2 linked regions of the Sus scrofa genome follow. The protein of the gene in region 1 purifies or fractionates together with the protein of each later gene. This does not show direct contact. Links are inferred from orthologs where the notes say so. Each region holds a gene or a part of one and is shown on either strand. Other genes may lie near its edges. The genes, in order: MED12 and VDR.

Evidence for each region.
Region 2: the proteins of MED12 (region 1) and VDR purify together in Homo sapiens (affinity purification with mass spectrometry; 3 studies listed by BioGRID, with this or other methods). This does not show direct contact. The link is inferred for Sus scrofa from reciprocal best matches to the Homo sapiens genes MED12 and VDR.

The regions. Positions count from the first base shown.
Region 1 is NC_010461.5:57,148,656-57,159,091, forward strand, and holds the start of MED12 (mediator of RNA polymerase II transcription subunit 12), read left to right. Parts: upstream 1-2,228; 5' UTR 2,229-2,427; coding exon 2,428-2,526; exon of another isoform or gene 2,527-2,587; intron 2,588-3,068; coding exon 3,069-3,173; intron 3,174-3,380; coding exon 3,381-3,572; intron 3,573-3,708; coding exon 3,709-3,868; intron 3,869-4,548; coding exon 4,549-4,730; intron 4,731-4,919; coding exon 4,920-5,030; intron 5,031-5,158; coding exon 5,159-5,413; intron 5,414-5,778; coding exon 5,779-5,925; intron 5,926-6,083; coding exon 6,084-6,183; intron 6,184-6,308; coding exon 6,309-6,445; intron 6,446-6,666; coding exon 6,667-6,798; intron 6,799-7,382; coding exon 7,383-7,509; intron 7,510-7,963; coding exon 7,964-8,193; intron 8,194-8,912; coding exon 8,913-8,993; intron 8,994-9,125; coding exon 9,126-9,296; intron 9,297-9,499; coding exon 9,500-9,644; intron 9,645-9,810; coding exon 9,811-9,861; intron 9,862-10,188; coding exon 10,189-10,307; intron 10,308-10,436. UniProt on the Homo sapiens protein: Component of the Mediator complex, a coactivator involved in the regulated transcription of nearly all RNA polymerase II-dependent genes.
Region 2 is NC_010447.5:78,205,087-78,214,892, reverse strand, and holds the end of VDR (vitamin D3 receptor), read left to right. Parts: intron 1-4,513; coding exon 4,514-4,665; coding exon of another isoform or gene 4,666-4,819; coding exon 4,820-4,936; intron 4,937-6,443; coding exon 6,444-6,703; 3' UTR 6,704-7,653; downstream 7,654-9,806.

The sequences.
Region 1 (10,436 bases):
TTTCTGTGGGTTAAAATTCCTCAGGGTTACCTCCTCCAATATGTTTTTCTCTCCCCAGTCAAAATTAATTTATCTTCCCATTGTGATTCAATAACATTTTCTTACTGTTACTTTCATTGGTTATTGGCTAGCTTTATAATTTTTATCTATTGTTATTTGTTAACCTGTATTATAACCCTCTTTTCTCTAAAAGGCAATACCATCATAAAAAGAATATCAAGTCAAGGAGTTCCCGTTGTGGCTCAGGAATTAATGAACCCTGCTAGTATCTATGAGGATGCCAGTTCAATCCCTGGCCTCGCTCTCTGGGTTAAGGATCCAGCATTGCTGTGAGCTGTGGCGTAGGTTGCAGACGTGGCTCAGATCTGGTGTGGCTGTGGCTGTGGTGTAGCACAGCTGCAACTTCCATTCGATCGCCAGCCTGGGAACTTCCAGGGATGCGGCCCTTAAAAAAAAAAAAAAAAAAAAAAAAAAAAAAAAAAAAAGTCAGGAAAAGTATGATATCACTGGATTTCCCATCGTGGCACAGTGGTTAACGAATCCGACTAGGAACCATGAGGTTGCGGGTTCGATCCCTGCCCTTGCTCAGTGGGTTAACGATCCAGCGTTGCCGTGAGCTGTAGAGCAGGTCGCGGACGCGGCTCGGATCCCGCGTTGCTGTGGCTCTGGCGTAGGTCGGCGGCTACAGCTCCGATTCAACGCCTAGCCTGGGAACCTCCATATGCCGCGGGAAGCGGCCTAGAAAAGACAAAAAAAAAAAAAAAAAGTATGATATCACTCATATGTGGAACCTGAAAAATGCAACAAACTAGTGAATGTAACAAAAAAGCAGATTCACAGATACAAAGAACCAACTAGGGGTTACACTGGGAGAAGCGAGAAGGGGGAAGGACAGTTTAGGTGTAGGAGACTATAAGATACAAACTATCACGTATAAAATGAGCTAAAAAGATATATTGTATAACATGAGGAATGTAGCCAATATTTTATAATTATGAATGGAGTATAACCTTTAGAAAATACGAACCACTATACTGTGCACCCGTAACTTATGCAATATTGTACACCAAATATACTTCAATTTAAAAAAGCAGGGGGAGTTCTTAGTGGGTTATAAACCTGACATACTAGTATCCATGAGGATTCGGGTTCCATCCCGGGCCTCACTTAGTGGGTTAAGGATCCTGTTGCAGTGGCTGTGGCTGTGGCAGGCAGCTGCAGCTCGGATTTGACCCTTAGTCTGGGAACCTCCATATGCTGAAGGTGCGGCCCTACAAAAAGCAAATAAAATTAAATTAAAAAGCAGGTAAAAAAATAGAATAGCCAATGATATGATATACCACTTAAAGAAGAGTCAAGGAAAAAAACCCTAGTCTCAGCTCTGTTATTCAGTAGCTATATAAACCAACTCCCACTCCTTGAGAATCAGCTTCCTCATCTACAAAATGGAGACAATAATAATCCCTAACACATGGGGCTTTTGTGGATTAAAAGAGATAATGTCTGAAAAGCATCTGATACTTAATAGGTGCCTCTTTCTATAGAGCAAGCGTTCTTAACCTGGAGTTCCTGAATCTTCGGAGTATATATGGATGAACTTCGTGGAGGGGTGTGTGTGTAAGAATCTCCGTGGAAAGTGTCTAACGTTTTGTATATCTCTACGTGCTTTTTTTTTTTTTTTTTTTTTCTGGGAAGAAGGGCCGTAGCTTCCACCGCATTTTAAAGGGACTTTGAATCAGAAGAGGTTAAGAACCTCAGTGCTAGACCATAGGGACCTTGAGGGATTAGAGCCGACCTTTGTGTGTGTGTGGGGGGGGGGGGGGTTAATATGTGTTTCCTTATGCATACATCGTTTCTAATCTTCACAACAGTCCCTTGAAGGAAGTGTTTGTTAGTACACCCATTTTTCAGATGCGGAACCTGAGAAATGAAGAAGCAGTTTGGAAAAGGCAGAGTTCCCAACAAACGCACAGACGATCAAGCACTTATTTATTCTAGGCCGGGAACGGAGGGAGGTGCTGGGAACGCAATTCTAACCGGAGCTCGGTGCGGTGGCCGCCTCCCGCCTCGCGGGTTCGCATCCCCAGTCCAGCACAGGGTTAGCGAATGTCGCAAAGATCTTGACTGAGTGAAGTCGATCTGCGGCCGCCGGGGCAGAAAAAGCTCCCCCGGCGCCGAGCTCCGCCCCACGCCGGGTGGGCCCCGCCCCCGTTCCCCCCCCTACCCCGCGGTCGGTATTGTCCGACGGTTCCCGGCGTCCCTCGGTTTACCTCGGTAGTTTCCGGCAATGATCGAGAGTTTCTAACGTGCCCCCTTGTTGTCTCTCGGCTGCCGTCCTCGCCTCCGCTGCCCCCCTTTTCGGCTCCCTCTCCCCCTCCCCCAGCGGCCGGGCCCGGCTGGCGCCTCTGGCGCTACGGGCTGGGCAAGATGGCGGCCTTCGGGATCTTGAGCTACGAACACCGGCCCCTGAAGCGGCCGCGGCTGGGGCCTCCGGATGTGTACCCTCAAGATCCCAAACAGAAGGAGGTACGTTCAAAAATCCGGGCTCCCCAGGGGCCGGGGGCCAGCGATCGGCAGAAGAGGAAGCACTGAAAGCTTGGCGGGGGGGGGGGGGGGCGGGGCGGTTCGCCGGGAGCGAAAGTCCCGAAAGGGGGAAGAGTAAAGTGGGCTGGCGTAGGAGAGTAGGATCTGGTGGGGGTGGGGGGTGGTTCCTGGGTGCCAGCTGGGAGTGATATCGGGGCCACGCTGGAGGCGCCCCCCTCTACACACACACACCTCAGAAAGTTGTCTGAGGCAGCTGGGTGAGCAACGGCTGCTCTGCTTCCAAGCTCGCAGGGGAAGAGTGCTGTTGAGTGAGCTCTGGGGGATTGGGAATCTTAGTGACTGTGGGGGTGAGGGTGGGGTCCAAATGAATGTTAGGGCCTAGCTTTAAATAACAATCTGTTCTACTCCGAATCCTCCTCCTCCCTTCCCCCCTCCCCATGTTCCCTTCTCTTCTGCCCTCTCCCACCACCAACCTTCCCCCCCCCCCCCGTGGCGGGGGCTAACATGTCGTTTTCCCGCTTTAGGATGAACTGACAGCCTTGAATGTAAAACAAGGTTTCAATAACCAGCCCGCTGTCTCTGGGGATGAACATGGCAGTGCCAAGAACGTCAACTTCAATCCTGCCAAGGTGAGACAACCCTGCCAAGCTGAAGGAAAAGGCTGGAAGAATTTGAGAAGGCGCAAAGGCCCTGGGTTGGGAAGACTTAAAGGGACCACCTAAATGGCTGAGTTTTCCTTCATAACCTCATGCTACCACATTGGCATTTGCCTATCAAAGGCACAACCACCTCTCTACCCCTTCTTCCCACCCTGAGGTGTAGTTTTCTTCCCTCAGATCAGTTCCAACTTCAGCAGCATTATTGCAGAGAAGTTACGTTGTAACACCCTCCCTGACACTGGTCGCAGGAAGCCCCAAGTGAACCAGAAGGACAACTTCTGGCTGGTGACTGCACGATCCCAGAGTGCCATTAACACCTGGTTCACTGACCTGGCTGGCACCAAGCCACTCACACAACTAGCCAAAAAGGTGAGATACCATTTCTTGTTCTTCAAGCCAGGGAGTGGAGTGTGGGTACCAAGCACCCTCCGATTCCCAGATTAAGCTACATGAATGCCAGCTCATGGGGGTAATGGAGGTCTCACTATTTGTGATGTCCGTCCAGGTCCCCATTTTCAGTAAGAAGGAAGAAGTGTTTGGGTACTTAGCCAAATACACAGTGCCTGTGATGCGGGCAGCCTGGCTCATTAAGATGACCTGTGCCTACTATGCAGCAATCTCGGAGAACAAGGTTAAGAAGAGAAATGTCGTTGACCCCTTCACGGGTGAGTAAGTCCTCTAACACCAGGGGTCCCACCACTGATCACTTCAAGCAGTGGTAGAGAGACCCTTGAGATTATTCTCCTTCCTCATCTATATTCCTTGCTTCTGCTTGTATCTTGCATTCACTCCATTAGTAAACATCGAGTATCTTGAGTACCTTCTCCGTGCATGTACTGGGCTATAAAGATAACCACTACTTAATCCCTGCCTTTAGGATGCTTAGAGTCTAGTAGGGATGCCAAGGCATATGTACAGATCCCGTGATTAAATATAGAACATAATGTCAAAAGTGGAGGCAAGGAGTTCCCTAGTGGTGCAGCAGGTTAAGGATCCAGCATTGTCACTGCCATGGCACAGGTTCCATCCCTGGCCGGGAAACGTCTGCATGCTGCGAGCACAGCCAAAATTTTTAAAAATATGTAAATTAATTAATAAATAAAAATATGTAAGTTAATAAAATAAACATAAAAAATGGAGGCAGAAGGTTTCTTTGAGACTCAGTGAACAGAAAGATTACTTTCTTTTGGAGACACCTGGAAAGGCTTTAGGAAGGTGGCATTTGACTAGAGCCTAAGGGGCTGAATAGGATTTAGAAGTATGGTGACTGTGGACGGGAGCAGGGGACAAGATGTTCTAAGCAGAGGGACAGTATAAAATAGCCGTTTTCCCATCTTTCCCCTAGAGTGGACTCAGATCATCACCAAGTACTTATGGGAGCAGCTGCAAAAGATGGCTGAATACTACCGGCCAGGGCCTGCCGGAAGTGGGGGCTGTGGTCCCACTGTAGGGCCCTTGCCCCATGATGTAGAGGTGGCGATCTGGCAGTGGGACTACAACGAGAAGCTGGCCATGTTCATGTTTCAGGTAGGAAGGAGAGCTTGTTATAGGGCGTGGGATTGAGCCTGATCTCACACTCTGCCAGCATAGAACAGAATCGGCCTGCCACCTTGCCCCACTTGTGTGGTTCTCTTCATCCTTTCATTTACTTTCTCTGCCTCATCTTGAATAGTCCCTAGGCAAAGCTAATCCTCTTCCCACCCCTGGTGCCCACAGGACGGAATGCTGGACAGACATGAGTTCCTGACCTGGGTACTTGAGTGCTTTGAGAAAATCCGCCCTGGAGAGGATGAATTGCTTAAACTGCTGCTGCCCCTGCTGCTTCGAGTAAGGCCTAGGATTTGGCCAGGGGGTAGGGGTGGGGGAGCATCTAGGGAGGATGTGAGGAGGAGTAAGACGTGAGAGCAGTGTCTCTTGGAAAGAACTGGGGGGTTTTGATCGTCATGTCTTCACAGTACTCCGGGGAATTTGTTCAGTCTGCATACCTCTCCCGCCGCCTTGCCTACTTCTGTACCCGGAGACTGGCCCTGCAGCTGGATGGTGTGAGCAGTCACTCGTCTCATGTGATGTCTGCTCAGTCAACAAGCACACTACCCACCACCCCTGCTCCTCAGCCCCCAACTAGCAGCACACCCTCTACACCCTTTAGTGACCTGCTTATGTGTCCTCAGCACCGACCCCTGGTTTTTGGCCTCAGCTGTATCCTTCAGGTAGGTACTCGGTGGGCCTATGGAAGTATTAAGAGACCTCTTGAGAAGAATTAGGTGCCTGTCCTGGAAAATAGGGGGATTCTAAATTGGAGGTGAGAGTAGGCACTGAGTACTTGCTTGGAAATTGTTGGCTGCTCATTCATGGGGCGATAGTTCCTTTTCAGGTAGTTCCCTTCCAGGTCTACATAGTAGGCCCAAAGCCTTTGGAGGAGAGTGGATGAGGGGAGGGGCTCAGAGATGGAGTGATGCCACCCTAGGGACTCAGAATAACTTTGGATTGGAAATCGAAGCATTGGGTCTTATGATGGGCTTCTGGAAAGGTAGCCATGGTAACCGAGTTTGACTTAGCTGTTCCTGTCTGGCAGACCATCCTCCTGTGTTGTCCTAGTGCCCTGGTTTGGCACTACTCGCTGACTGATAGCCGAATCAAGACTGGCTCACCACTCGATCACCTGCCTATTGCCCCCTCCAACCTGCCCATGCCAGAGGGCAACAGTGCCTTCACTCAGCAGGTAAGTTGGACCAGTAGCCTGCTTACCGCAGGTTTGGATATAGAGGCTGAAGTTACTCTTTCAGAACTAGTGACTTGGAGCCTACTACTATGCTTTTAGCCTGGAGCCCTAGCCTTTTTGTATGCTTTGCTCCATCCTTAAAACCTTCCTTTTGGCAGGTCCGTGCAAAGTTGCGGGAGATCGAGCAGCAGATCAAGGAGCGAGGACAGGCCGTTGAGGTTCGCTGGTCTTTTGATAAGTGCCAGGAAGCTACTGCAGGTGGGTGCCAGAGGACAGGCAGTAAGAAGGGTGTTTGAGGAAAGGGTGGGGATGGTAATGACATATAGATCTGAGAGTCAGAGTAAGCCTCTGGTTAAGTCCCCTTTACCGCTTTTCCTCTTTAGGCTTCACCATTGGACGGGTGCTCCATACTTTGGAAGTGCTGGACAGCCATAGTTTTGAGCGCTCTGACTTCAGCAACTCTCTTGACTCCCTCTGTAACCGAATTTTTGGATTGGGGCCCAGCAAGGATGGACACGAGGTAATAAGCAAGACGGGGAAGAGGAGGGAAAAACAGCAAGAGCACCAGTACATTTGACGGGAAGGAGGGGTGAGGCACTAAAACTAGAGGATGTCTGAAGAGACAGATGGTCTTACTGGGCCTAGAATGTTTTAAGATGGGGCCCAATCGCTGGGAAATTGGAACTCAGTTTTTTGTCCCCAACTCTGCCTTACTCACCTCCGTCTTCCTTTGGTCTCCAGATCTCCTCAGATGATGATGCTGTGGTATCATTACTGTGTGAATGGGCTGTCAGCTGCAAGCGTTCTGGTCGGCATCGCGCTATGGTGGTAGCCAAGCTGCTGGAGAAGAGACAGGCAGAGATCGAGGCTGAGGTTAGGGGGCCCGGCAGGGAGTGGCAGCTGGGCCTGGAGCCAGATTGAGCTGATAGTGGGACCAATGTTGAAGGTGTGAGAGTAAGAAGTGGTTAGAGAACGTACAGGGAAAGTGGAGGACATGAGGCAAAAATAGAAATGAGTGGATCAGTGTCAGAGTTAGAGAAGTGATCAAGGCTGCAGTTGGAGGCGCTAAAGAAAATAGGAGTCAAGGAGTTCTCATCGTGGCTCAGTGCTAAGGCACCCGACTCGTGTCCATGAGGACTTGGGTTCCATCCCTGGCCTCACTCAGTGGGTTAAGAATCTGGCGTTGCCGTGAGCTGTGGTGTGGGTCACAGACACGGCTTGGATCCTGCGTTGCTGTGGCTGTGGTGTGGGCTGGCGGCTACAGCTCCGATTAGATGCCTAGCCTGGAAACCTCCATATGCCACAGGTGTAGCCCTAAAAAGACTAAAAACAAAGAAAGAAAAGAAAATGGGAGTCAACAGGGGGACGTGGAGATAGGCAGTTGTTCAAGGATTGTACGTGGATGAGTGAAGAAACAGATAAAACCCAGCCCTATGGTTTGTCCTCTCATTTTATAGCGTTGTGGAGAATCAGAAGCCGCAGATGAGAAGGGTTCCATTGCCTCTGGCTCCCTTTCTGCACCCAGTGCTCCCATTTTCCAGGATGTCCTCCTGCAGTTTCTGGACACACAGGCTCCCATGCTGAGTATGGACCCCTGCTACTTTCTGGTTACCTCTGCCTAGACTCCCTTACCCACCCCTGTCATCAGAAAGCATAATGAAAGGCCTTCTGAGATATAATCTTAGCTTGAGCTCTATGCAGAATGTCTTTGGACATAATTCTAGTCTTTGATCATCTTACAGTTTAACAGAGTAGAGAAATAAAGAGTAGAATAAAAACAAGTGCTTAGGATCGGAGCGTTTTCATGTATAAATAGCAGAAATGCTGTGTTCCTTTATTAGATGGGGGGGCAGGAGGTAGGATAACCAAGCATACTTTGTCCCTCAACAGTTTGGGGGGCGTTGGGGGGTTTTGAGTCATTCCTATTCCTGCCTATTTCAGGTACCCTAGGAGCATCTTACCTTAGATGTGTCCCTCTCGCTTTCTGCCCATGTCTTCCATGCTCCCTTACTCATCTTTTCTCATTCCCTCCCTCCAGCGGACCCCCGAAGTGAGAGTGAGCGGGTGGAATTCTTTAACTTGGTACTGCTCTTCTGTGAACTGATTCGACACGATGTTTTCTCCCACAACATGTACACTTGCACCCTCATCTCCCGAGGGGACCTTGCCTTTGGAGCCCCTGGTCCCCGGCCTCCCTCTCCCTTTGATGACCCTGCTGATGACCCTGAGCGCAAGGAGGCTGAGGGCAGCAGCAGCAGCAAGCTGGAGGTGAGCTGGCTTTTCCTCACCCTAGATTGTTTCTTCCTGTACAGTCCCCTCTTCCTGGCTCCTGAAGTAATCTGAGGATCCTTTACCCAGTGATGAGGGTAGGATTTGCTTAGCGCTTCATAGTTTATTTACCAAGCACTCTCACATCATTTTATTATTATTATTATTATTATTTGATCCTCACAACTGCCTCGTTGAGGTATTGTTATCATTTTTTTGTCTTTTTTTTTTTTAGGGCCACACCCAAAGCATACGGAGGTTCCCAGGCTAGGGGTCAAATCAGAGCTACAGCTGCTGGCCTAGGCCACAGCCACAGCACCACGGGATCCAAGCTGCGTCTGTGACCTACACCACAGCTCATGGCAACACTGGATCCTTAACCCACCAAGCAAGGCCAGGGATCGAACCTGCATCCTTATGGATACTAGCTGGGTTTGTTACTGCTGAGCTACAACGGGAACTCCTGTTATTCTCATTTTAAAGCTGAATGAGTAAATCAACTGTAATGGAAAAAATAAAAATCATAAAATAAAAAAAGTAAAATAACGCTAAATGAAACCAAGGCCTATGGGGGCTAAGTGATCAGTCAAGGCTTGGATGTGGATCTTGTGCTCTTCCCAGTATGGTGTCCTGTCTCCAACTTCTGAGTCGACTTTTCTGGATGGTGGGGAGCAGCTCCTTGGGGCTAATGCGACTCTGCTTCTGTTCTCTGCCCTCAGGATCCAGGGCTCTCAGAGTCTATGGATATCGACCATAACTCCAGTGTGATCTTTGAGGACATGGAGAAGCCTGATTTCTCAGTAAGTTATATCCTGGTGTGGAAGAATCCAGCTCCCAGACACCTCCCACTGTGCCACTTTGGGGAGTTTCTTTATGCCCCCTCTTCCGTTTTGTCTTCCTCTAACCGTTCTGCCCTTTCGCCTTTCTCGTAGTTGTTCTCCCCTACTATGCCCTGTGAGGGGAAGGGCAGTCCGTCCCCTGAGAAACCAGATGTTGAGAAGGAGGTGAAGCCCCCACCCAAGGAGAAGCTAGAAGGGACCCTTGGGGTTCTTTATGACCAGCCACGGCATGTGCAATATGCCACGCACTTTCCCATCCCCCAGGTACCGTTCCCCACCACTTTGTGACCCTCTGTTCTGAGCCCAGGTTTCTGTCCAAGGACTGTGCCATGGGGTTGGAGCTGTTCTTGAGGGTGTGGTATGCTGGGCAGGGCTTGAGCACTGGGATGCTGAGGGGCGTGGAGCATGCTTTTTAAGAGGAGGGAGAGCAGTTCGTGCCGGAGTCTGATGGTGCCGCTGGGATGCAGGAGGAGTCATGCAGCCATGAGTGCAACCAGCGGTTGGTCGTACTGTTTGGGGTGGGAAAGCAGCGAGATGATGCCCGCCATGCCATCAAGAAAATTACCAAGGATATCCTGAAAGTTCTGAACCGCAAGGGGACAGCGGAAACTGGTGGGTTTGAGGTGCCTTAAACAGATCTCCCCCAAAGAGTGCCCTAGTCAGTCTCCCCTTCCCCAGCATAGGGAACTCCCAGTCATGTCCCGATGTCCTGTCTCTTGGAGTCTCCTGAGAGCTCTAGTCCTTTTGAAACTTCCCCCCTCATTCCCCCCCTCTGCAGACCAGCTTGCTCCTATTGTGCCTCTGAATCCTGGAGACCTGACATTCTTAGGTACCTCACAGTAAGCCCCATACTGCCCGCCCTCCCTCTCCCTTCCCTCCCTCAACCTAGCACCTCCCTGTACGTATTCCTCTAAGGTCCACATAGTCTGTGGTCCTCCAAACCTGTGCTTCACTGTCCCCTTCCCTTCAGCCCTCCCCCACCCCTTCCTTGAGCCTCCCTTCACCTCTTCCCTCTTCCTTCCTTCCCTCTCTCCCACCCTCCCGTCCTTCCCCTTTCCCTCCCCACCCATAGCCTTCTCTCCGTACCCCCCTCCCCACTCCCAGTCACCTAGTTACATCCCCTGTCCTGACTGGTCCTCTTCAACTGTCCCCTCAGGTGGGGAGGATGGGCAGAAGCGGCGACGCAACCGGCCTGAAGCCTTCCCCACTGCCGAGGATATCTTTGCTAAGTTCCAGCACCTTTCGCATTATGATCAACACCAGGTCACAGCTCAGGTGGGCCTAAGTCCAGTCCCCTCCCCATGTTCTGGCATCCTGTCCCGTCTTCCTTTCCTTCTGATCTTTTTTTCCACCCCCAAGCAGACTAAGCCTCCCGGTCGCATCCCTGTCTACTAGCATCCTTTT
Region 2 (9,806 bases), on another chromosome or scaffold:
TCCCTGGTCTAGCCGTGCCGTCATGGCCAAAACGAGGTCTCTAAGAGCACCTGCTGGAGCCAGCCAGCTCTTGAGGCAAAATCAATTAAATCGATCTAAACAAGCTGGATTGGCTTTTCTCGCTTCAGCCTGACTTGAGAAGTCCCACAGTGGAATGATTCCTAGTAAAAGTGGAGCAGGCCTTAGCAAGAGCTCTGGGGATGGGGTGGAGTGGCGGGGGTGGGGGGTGAGGACACTGACGCAGACGCTCTGTGACCTCGTGGAGCTGATGCTGTACCAGGACTGGGGCCAGAGCCCAGGCTCCTTGGAGGACCCAGGCGGGGCCAGCCCAACAGCTCTCTGGTTCTGCCGGTTTCTGCACTTAGAGGTTCTGTGTTTCCAAGAAGTGAAAGAACAGTGGTTGCGTCCCTGGTGGCTTTGATCTTGCTGCCTAGAGGCGGGGGTGGAGGGTGTGGGGAGGGCAGGATGAGACTTCTGTGTGGGAGAGTGGGAGCGGGGTGGGAGTACGGGGTGGGATGAGGCTCCAGGGCGGGCATGGGACCAAAGTGGGGTGGGACTGGATGGGCTGTGCTGGGTGTCAACGGCCCTGTGGTGTGGCCTTGGCCCTGCTCCTGCCTCCGACCTCTTCCCCCTCGGCCTCTCAGTCTGGCAGCCCCCCAAGCCTCCCCACCTCAGTCCCGCAAGAGAAATGCAGGGAGGAGGTGGTGCAGGAGCAGTCGTGGATCTCAGAGCATGGAACCACAGTGTTCACTGCCCAGACTGGTGCAGGAGATACCACAGAGGGCTAAAGGCCTCCAACCCCACTGCCATTTCCATCCCCAGAGACTCCTGCCTCTGTCAAAGGCCTGGGGTCATAGCGCTTCCCTCCGCCTCTGCCCTTTCCTCTATTTATTTGCTCATCGATCCAGCAATCAGCTTGCTTATATAAACTGGGAGGGAAGAAAGCTGCCTCGGACAGCCTCTGGCCTCCGGAGGGTCAGCGTCTGATGGAAGAGAGAGGCCTGTGAGCGGCTGTGGTGACAAGATTAGGGCAGTGAGAGACGCCTGTTAGAGGCACAGACAGAATGCAGGCCATGGAGGGAGGGGGGAAGCCTTGCCTGGGATGGGGGAGGGGAGACAAGCCCGCATTCCCAGAGCGTGTGGCAGGTGCCCAGAAGCAGCGGCAGGGGTGAAAACCTATGAGGAGGTCCAGGGAGGAGGCCCAGAGCCCGAGCCAGTGTCCATTACAGCAGGAAACTTCTCTGACTGGATTCCCCTTTGGCTCCACCTCTGCCCCCAACCCACCACCAGTCTCAGTTCTGGCTTCGAGCTGGCTCGTAGAAATTCCCTGTATTTCCAGCCCATGGGTAGTAATTTGAGGTTGTTCTAGGTTGGCTTTCATAGCAGGAGTATGTCTGGATCACAGCAGCCAGTGAAATCTCTCTGGCCAAACACGCATGGGATATTCGTTCATTTCTGGCCATCCGTTTTGAGGGGGCCCTTGAACAAAAGGTTACGTATAAAGATATTCCTCACAGAATTACTTATAATAGCAAAACTTCAAAGCAGCCCAAATACCCCAAAGTAAGTGACTGGGAGATTGATAAATAACTTATAGAGTGTGTTGATATAACGTGATGCAACCCACCATGAACTAACGTAGGAAGTGAGACACAGGGTCACTGTGACCTCCTACATGTTAAGAAAGAGATATTTGCGGAGTTCCCGTTAGGGTTCAGCGGATTAACAACCCAACTAGTAAAAAGAGGATGCGGGTTCGATCCCTGGCCTCACTCAGGGGTTAAGGATCCAGAGCTGCCGCAAGCTGTGGTATTGGTTGCAGGTGTGGCTCGGATCTGGCGTTGCTGTGGCTGCGGTGTAGGCTGGCAGCTGTAGCTCTGATTCGCCCCCTAGCCTGGGAACTTCCCTATGCTGCCTGTGCAGCTCTAAAAGGAAAAGAGAGAGAGAGAGATTTGCATAAAAAACAGGAAGAAAATAAACCAGAATGTTCATCATGGTTTTGAGCAATTTTTATTTGTTTTCATTTTCTGCAAAGATTTAATAATCGAATGTTTTACTGTATAATGAATTAAAACCCAAAGAAGGGTGATGTTAGTTTTTCTTTTTCAAGTGTGGATTGAAGAGTTCTCTTGTGGTGCAGTGGGTTAAGGACCCAGCATTGTCACTGCAGTAGCTTGGGTCACTGCTATGGTATGGGTTCGATCCCTGGCCTGGGAATTTCACATGCCACGGGCATGGCCAAAAAAACAAAAACAAAATGTGGACTGAGCGCCCAGAAAAAGGTGGCAAGGATGGCAAGACGTCATCAGGGCTATTTATCCCAGGAAAGATGCCAAGAGGAAATAGTGTCTTTCTTTAAATGGTGAGAGGAATGTCCCATAAGTGATGGAGAAGTCGGAGTTCTATGTTCCTTGAGAGGATGGAACTATGAGCAAGATGACTGTGTCATCGTGTGGGTTAGAGCTCAATAGAAGCCCAAGAGGCGCTTCACCCACAGCACGGCGTGGCTGTATCCCTGGCCCTGGGGGGATCCTGCACAGGCTGTGTGAGCACCATCTGCTGGGAGTGCTGAGGGAGGAACTGGACCACACAGCGTTGAAGGGGGGCCTCCCAATGCTGGCACTGTGAGATTTTCCTTCACTGCGCTTTGGTGGCCATCCTAATCAGGCAAGCCTTTTCACGCCTCCTCATCCATCACTTGCTGATACAGGGCCCACATCTGTTAACTCCGTTTCCCACTTTTTTTATATTCCAAAGTGCAGCCACAGAAGTTGACAGCCCATCGCAGGATATCCAGGAGGAAACATATAGTCAGAAAGGGAGGAAAATCCGGAAGCGATTTAATCCGTGGGCCCTGCTTTCTCCCTGTCATGGTTCAGACAAGCCCAGCTCGTGACTCAGAATAATGGAACTAGTCATCAGCCTCTTGACTCATCGACACCTAGTTATTGACACTCTCCTAGTGCTCAGGGTTCAACGTTCAATGTGAGGGCAACACTAAGGTAATTAAGAGGTGGTGCTGACCCTCAAGTAGCTCAGAGACAAGCACCTAAAGGACAGAGGTGAAGGGGAAAGGGCAAAATACCAGCAATGTACGAGCCACGTGCAGCAGGTCATAAAGGAATGGCTCTCATTCGATGAAGAGAATCAGAGAGTGGAGGACCCAAGAGAGACCTTCTAGATTCAGGACCAGAAAGACCAGGTGGAGCAGAAGAAGACAGGTGCTCCACGCGGGAGCCGTCCCATGTTCAAGGGCATGGCAGTGGCGTGAGAATGCATCACCTGAATGTGGAGTGTCCCACAGTTTAGAAGGGAGGGTTGGTGGAGCCTGCGATGGGAAGGGGGTCTGGAAAGACAGGTTGGAACCAAGTTATGGAGTACGGGCTTGAGCCCGGGGCGTTTGATAGTCTGTGCAGATTTCTGAGCACAGGAGTGACACTTTCCTGTAGCAGCGGTAAGAAAGGTGCACTAGAAACTTGACCCCAGGATTCTAGTAAGAGGCAACTGAAAGACATGAGGGAGCTCTGAATCAGAGCAGTCAGAGGAGTGGGAACGGGGTCCAGAGATGCTGGGCGTCACTCGGGGGAAGGACCAGAGGACAGGAGAGAGAGGGAGAGAAAGCATGGGAGCCACTGGGATGGCTCTAACATGTTTATTTTGTTTGTTTGTTTGTGGTTTTTTGTCTTTTTGCTATTTCTTTGGGCCGCTCCCACAGCACATGGAGGTTCCCAGACTAGGGGTCGAATCGGAGCTGTAGCCGCTGGCCTACACCAGAGCCACAGCAACGCGGGATCCGAGCCGCATCTGCAACCTACACCACAGCTCACGGCAACGCCAGATCCTTAGCCCACTGAGTAAGGGCAGGGATCGAACCCACAACCTCATGGTTCCTAGTCGGATTCGTTAACCACCGCGCCACGACGGGAACTCCTCTACCATGTTTTGCAGACCACCTTAGTCATGCCGTGGCCCTGAGAGCTTCCTCAAGCTCTCTCTTCATAACCCCAGAAGAGCTGTGGCTGCTTAGACCTGGGACACCCCAAAAAGTCACTGAGTAGCTGAGCTGATCCAGCTGGCATTTGGTCACAGTCTTGAGTTGTTCGCAAGTTGTTCTCCCTCAAGAAACAAGTCTTCTTCTTTCCAACCAGGCTGCAAGCTCCTCAGTGGAGGAGCTGGGCCCATGCTGGGCACCTGGCAGGTGTATACCTGTCAAAACACTGCACTAATTTACATGACTTGAAGGTCTCGGCGTCCCATTGTGGTTCAGTGGGTTAAGAACCTGACTAGAATCCATAAGGATGCAGGATCGATTCCTGGCCTCGCTCAGTGGGTTAAGGATCTGGCATTGCTGTGGCAGTGGTGAGGGCTGGCAGCGGCAGCTCCCATCCGACCCCTAGCCCGGGAACTTCCATATGCCACAGGTGCAGCCCTAAAAAGAACCAAAAGGAGAGAGAGAGAGAGAAGGTGCTGCCCAGTAAAGGAACCTGACCTCCACCTCTCCCCTCCCTGGCAGGGACCTCACCGCTGAGGACCAGATCGTGCTGCTGAAGTCAAGTGCCATCGAGGTCATCATGCTGCGCTCCAACCAGTCCTTCACCATGGACGACATGTCCTGGACCTGTGGCAGCCGGGACTACAAGTACCAAGTCAGCGACGTGGCCAAAGGTGCGTCTGGGCTCTGCCTCCGCCTGCCCCAGCTCCACCCCTCCTGGGGTCCAGGGCCCCACCAGGCACATCCGAGGGAGCAATGTCAGGCTGGATGTGGGGTGCGGGGGGCGTCCTGTGGGTGCCCACAGCAGCTGGCCATCCTCTCTCGCAGCCGGACACAGCCTGGAGCTGATCGAGCCCCTCATCAAGTTCCAGGTGGGGCTGAAGAAGCTGAACCTGCACGAGGAGGAGCACGTGCTGCTCATGGCCATCTGCATCGTCTCCCCAGGTACTCGCAGTGAGGACGTGGGACCTGGGATGTGGGGAGCGTGCAGGTGAAGCCCCACTGAAGACCAGCGGGAAGTTTGGAGGGAGGAGTGAGCAAAAGGAGAGAACGACAGGGAAACCTGGCTTTTGCTGGGTTTGCACAGCCAGGGTGGTGTGTGTATGTTGAGGGTTCCCTCACTGCCCTTGGCCTTGGCCTTTCCCTAGTGAAACCATTGCTGGTTCATGGGAGGGATTTTGAGGAGCCAGATAGATGGAGTTTCTTTTTTTCTTTCTTTCTTTCTCTTTCTTTCTTTTCTGTGTGTGTGTGTATGTGTGTGTGTGTGTGTGTCTTTTGTCTTTTCAGGGCCACACCTTCAGCATATGGAGGTTCCCAGGCTAGGGGTCGAATCAGAGCTATAGCTGCCGGCCTACACCACAGCCACAGCAACACAGGATCCTTAAGCCCCTAAGCAAGACCAGGGATCGAACCCGCAACCTCATGGTTACTCGTCAGATTCATTTCCACTGCACCACAAAGGGAACTCCTAGATGGAGTGTCTCAGGCCACAGACAGGCCTGTGTGAACTGGACTGACCTCCCTGACCCTTGAGGTCCCCTGAGGTCAGGGCACAAAACCCTGGGGCCCAATAGATGTTCTGCTGGCTGGACATCTGGCCTGATGGACAGTTGAGCTGACTGATTTTGGAGGCGGGATGCCGTCAGTCTTGAGCTCTTCTGCCTGTTTGGGGTGGAAAGAGGGAGACAGGCTGAGGAGGAGGGTCTTGTGGTCCCGGGGACTCTAGACACTGGTGAGGCCTCCCCCTGGACTGTGTTTGGGGAACAAACTAGTGGCTGCCATCCAGGGATGCTTTCCTGGGCTGGGGCCCGAGGGAAGGACCTGGGCACCCTCCTCCCGCCCAGTGAGCCCTCCCCAACTCATCCATTCATTTGTTCCCTCGGCAGTGATTTACTGGGCTCCTGTCAGGTACCAGGCACTGTGCTGGGCATAGAGACTCAGCAGCAAACAGGACGCAGACCTCTCCCACCAAGTGTAGGAGGAGACATCAAACACACGCCATTGTACAGCCAGTTCCTAGGAGTTCCCACTGTGGCTCAGCGGGTTAAGAACCTGACATAGTGTCCATGAGGATGCAGGTGTGAGCCTTGGCCTCGGTCAGTGGGTTAAGGATCCAGCGTTGTCGTGAGCTGTGGTGTAGAACCAGTGTTGCTGAGGCTGTGGTGCGGGCCAGCAGCTGCAGCTCTGATTTGACCCCTAGCCTGGGAACTTTCAGGCATGGCCTGAAAAAGCAAAAAAAATTTAAAAAAAAAAAAAAAAAAGGCAATAGAGAGTGGTTGAGATGTTGGGGAGGACTCTGGTGTCGCAGGTCAGCAGCCATCAGGAGTGATGGATGGATTCGGAGGTTAGGTGTCCATCTATGTGGGCTGAGGCATGAGGGGAGTGGATCGAACAGGGAGGGGCCCAGCTCAGATCTCCTGTGCCACCCCCACCCCACCCTCTCTGCCCACAGACCGTCCCGGGGTGCAGGACCCCACGCTGATCGAGGCCATCCAGGACCGCCTGTCCAACACGCTGCAGACCTACATCCGCTGCCGCCACCCGCCCCCGGGCAGCCACCTGCTCTACGCCAAGATGATCCAGAAGCTGGCCGACCTGCGTAGCCTGAACGAGGAGCACTCCAAGCAGTACCGCTGCCTCTCCTTCCAGCCCGAGTGCAGCATGAAGCTCACACCCCTTGTGCTTGAGGTGTTTGGCAACGAGATCTCCTGACTAGGGCAGCCTGCGGTGGCACCCGGCCGGGGCTGCCTCTCTGGGGCCCTGCGCCCAGGCCTGGGGTGGGCGTCTGGCCAGCAGCCCTCCCCACCCCCTCTGGAGTTCAGCCCCTCCTCTGCCACCTCCCCTCCCCGCCTGGCCCATCCTCTCTCCTGCCACAGGCTGCTCCCACTCCCACGAGACCTCCGTTATGAGGAGTTGCTGTTTATTTGACAGAGAAACTCAAGTGGGGGCAGAGGGCAGAGGCTGAGGACCCGGGGACGCCCCCGCTGCTCCAGAAGCGGCTGCTGGTGATGCCGAGGGAAAAGGCAGGCAGGAGAAATAGCCCCTTCCTCAGGGACAGAGACACCCGTACCTCCACCCCACTCCAGGCCCCCGTGTCCAGAGCCTGGTGGGATCTTCCTTCTTCCGCCTCATCCACGGCACGTACTGACCCACAGCCCCACCTCATCCTGCTGCCAGTCTGCGCTGTTCCGTCCCCAGGCAGCGAGCCACCAGGGGGCCTTGGCCCTCTGCCTGTCCAGGACACTCACTGCCAAGGATGACCAAAACCAGGGTGACGAAGGTCACAAATCCATCTCTGCTGCCCAAAGGGCACATGCCTAAGCCCTCCGTGCCCACCTTCCTCTCATCCCTATGGTAACGTTGTCCCCGGAAGGAGCTGTGGTAAGACAGGCTGCCTCCCCACGGCTGGGGACACTGGCCCAGAACCCACCTGCCAAGAGGCCCAGGAGGGAAGAGAGCAGGGCCCAGGCGGGGGGATTTGGGGGAGGCAGGCACATCCAGCCTCATGGAAGAGTGGTAGACAGAGGCCTCACCTGTCCTGTGGTGGAGCCCGTGGCTCTGCAGCCTGGATCTGAGGGGGTAGCCAAGGCGGGAGTTCTCCTTCTGACAACCCACATGGCAAGACTGACGGGCACCCAGGCTTCAGAGAAGCGCTGGACTCTGTCATCCTCCCCTGCCAGTGCCTTACCTCTGCTCCCTGAGAGAGGACCAGACCGGCTGCAGGCTCCCCTCACACAGCAGCCGTGGGCACCCAAGGGGCCTAACCCTGGGATGGCCAAGGGTGGTGACCCAGAGGTCAGCCCACTGTCCCCACCCCACCCCACAGTCTGGGGAAGCAGTGCCGCTCTGCCTACCAGCAGGGCCTCGTCTTTCCCACCTGGCCCGGCGCCCAAGCCATGCCCTCCCTGCCCACCACTGCCTGCTTCCAACACCGCCGTTCCCCCAAGAAGCAGGAGCCAGTGCCCCGGCCCCCGGGGTGGGGGTGGAGGGGGGGGTGAGAGACAGCGGGTTGGTCTGCTGTCCAGCCCGAGGGAGTGGGGCTGGTTCCTTCCGCTCCCATCGCACCACTGTGACGTCAGAGGTGGGTCCTTCCCACATCCAGAGGCACTCAGGAGGGGGCACTCCTGGCCCCGGGACCTCTGGGCTTCCACGGGGGTGTGAGCCGCAGGCCTGTGGGAGGGGGGCAGACAAGGTTCTCCCAGGAATCACAGAGGGTTCTTCAGCTCCTACGGAGGTTTCTGTCTCAGCAGGACACCCCCCCCCCGCCCCCGGCCCTGCACCTGCTGTTCACTACAGACCCCAGGAGCCAACGACTTACCACTGCAACCGCTGGGACAGCCGCCAGGGCCCGCCTGGCCAGTGCTTTCTCCATCTGGCAGCCACGTTCCTACTGCCGGCCACCGTCCTAAGACTCAGTCTGATGCTGATTAGATGGGGGTTGTCTTCCGAATCAGGCTCCATTGTGGTACCACGTGCTAATCTAGCCGGTGGTAGGGACCACAGGTGAAGCGAGATTTACGGGACCAGGGACTTAACATGGTGAAAATTCTATATCTTAATCATTGCTGTTGTTAGTTTACAAAGCAGGGAGAAGTGGGATTTGATTTTAGCTGCCGAACCTGTTGGCCCGGCTGCTAGTCAGCAGAAGAAAAAGCTGGAAAATCACTAACCCAGTTCGACCCCCTGGTTAAAGAAAACTGATGCTGAGAGGAGGGCGTGACTCACCCAAGCTCAAGGAACTAGTTAGAAGCAGCCCCAGGGCTGCACCCCAATTTGGACTTAGGGTTCAGTGCTCGTTTCGCTATACCACGCTTGAGCTCAGACCCCATGTCCCACTTCCCTAGAGGAGGACCTTTCCCTGGGGGAAGCCCTGGGCTTTCGACAGAGCAAGTCCAGATCCCAGACCCCTGCCTTGCTTCCCTTGGTTGTCACCCCACTGACTGACCCATCAGGGGGAGGAGAAGGGACACCTCAGCCTGTGTCAATGTGAATCGGACCCCCGCCCCTCTGTGGCCCTGGCTGGATGGGGTCTCCGCCTCAGCCCTGTATGATGCTGTTGCCTCATCAATAAAGTGCATTTGTCTTTGTACCGTCTCCGCCTTCCCAAAGCTCGTCTGGCCCTGCCTTCCCCAGGGGACCCCACGGGACACTGAACACCAGTGCCTCAGCTCTGGGGCACACAACAGTCCAGTCCAGTCCCTAAGTAAAATCTAGGAGCTGAGAGGAAAAGAAAAGAGAAAAAGTGAGGTTTCCTGGGACTAAATTGGGAAAAGATGTTATCACCTCTTTTGCTTTAAAATGAAAGAATGAGAGCTCCCATTGTGGCTCAGTCTGTTAAGAACCTGACTAGTATCCGTGAGGATGCGGGTTTGACCCCTGACCTCACTTAGTGGATTAAGGATCGGGCCTTGCCGTGAGCTGTGGTGTAGGTCACAGATGCCACTCGAATCCACGTTGCTGTGGCTGTGGTGTAGGCTGGCAGCTACAGCTCTGATTCAACCTGCAGGCCAGAAGCTTCCATATGCCATGGATGCAGCCGTAAAAAGAAAAAAAATAAAACGAGAGAACACAAAGGTAGATATTTATAAATCTCAAACTTTTAAAGTATATTATTGGAGGAGTTACCTGGTGGCTCAGCGGGTTAAGGATCCTGCAGCTTTGTCACTTCTGTGGCTATAGTTACTGCTGTGGCTCAAGTTCAATCCTCAGCCCAGGAACTTCTGTGAGCCGTGGGTGCAGCCAATAAGTAAGAAAGTATATTATTGGAAAGCAGGAAAGTGTGCCCCAAAATGCCAACTACCTAAACAAGATTCCA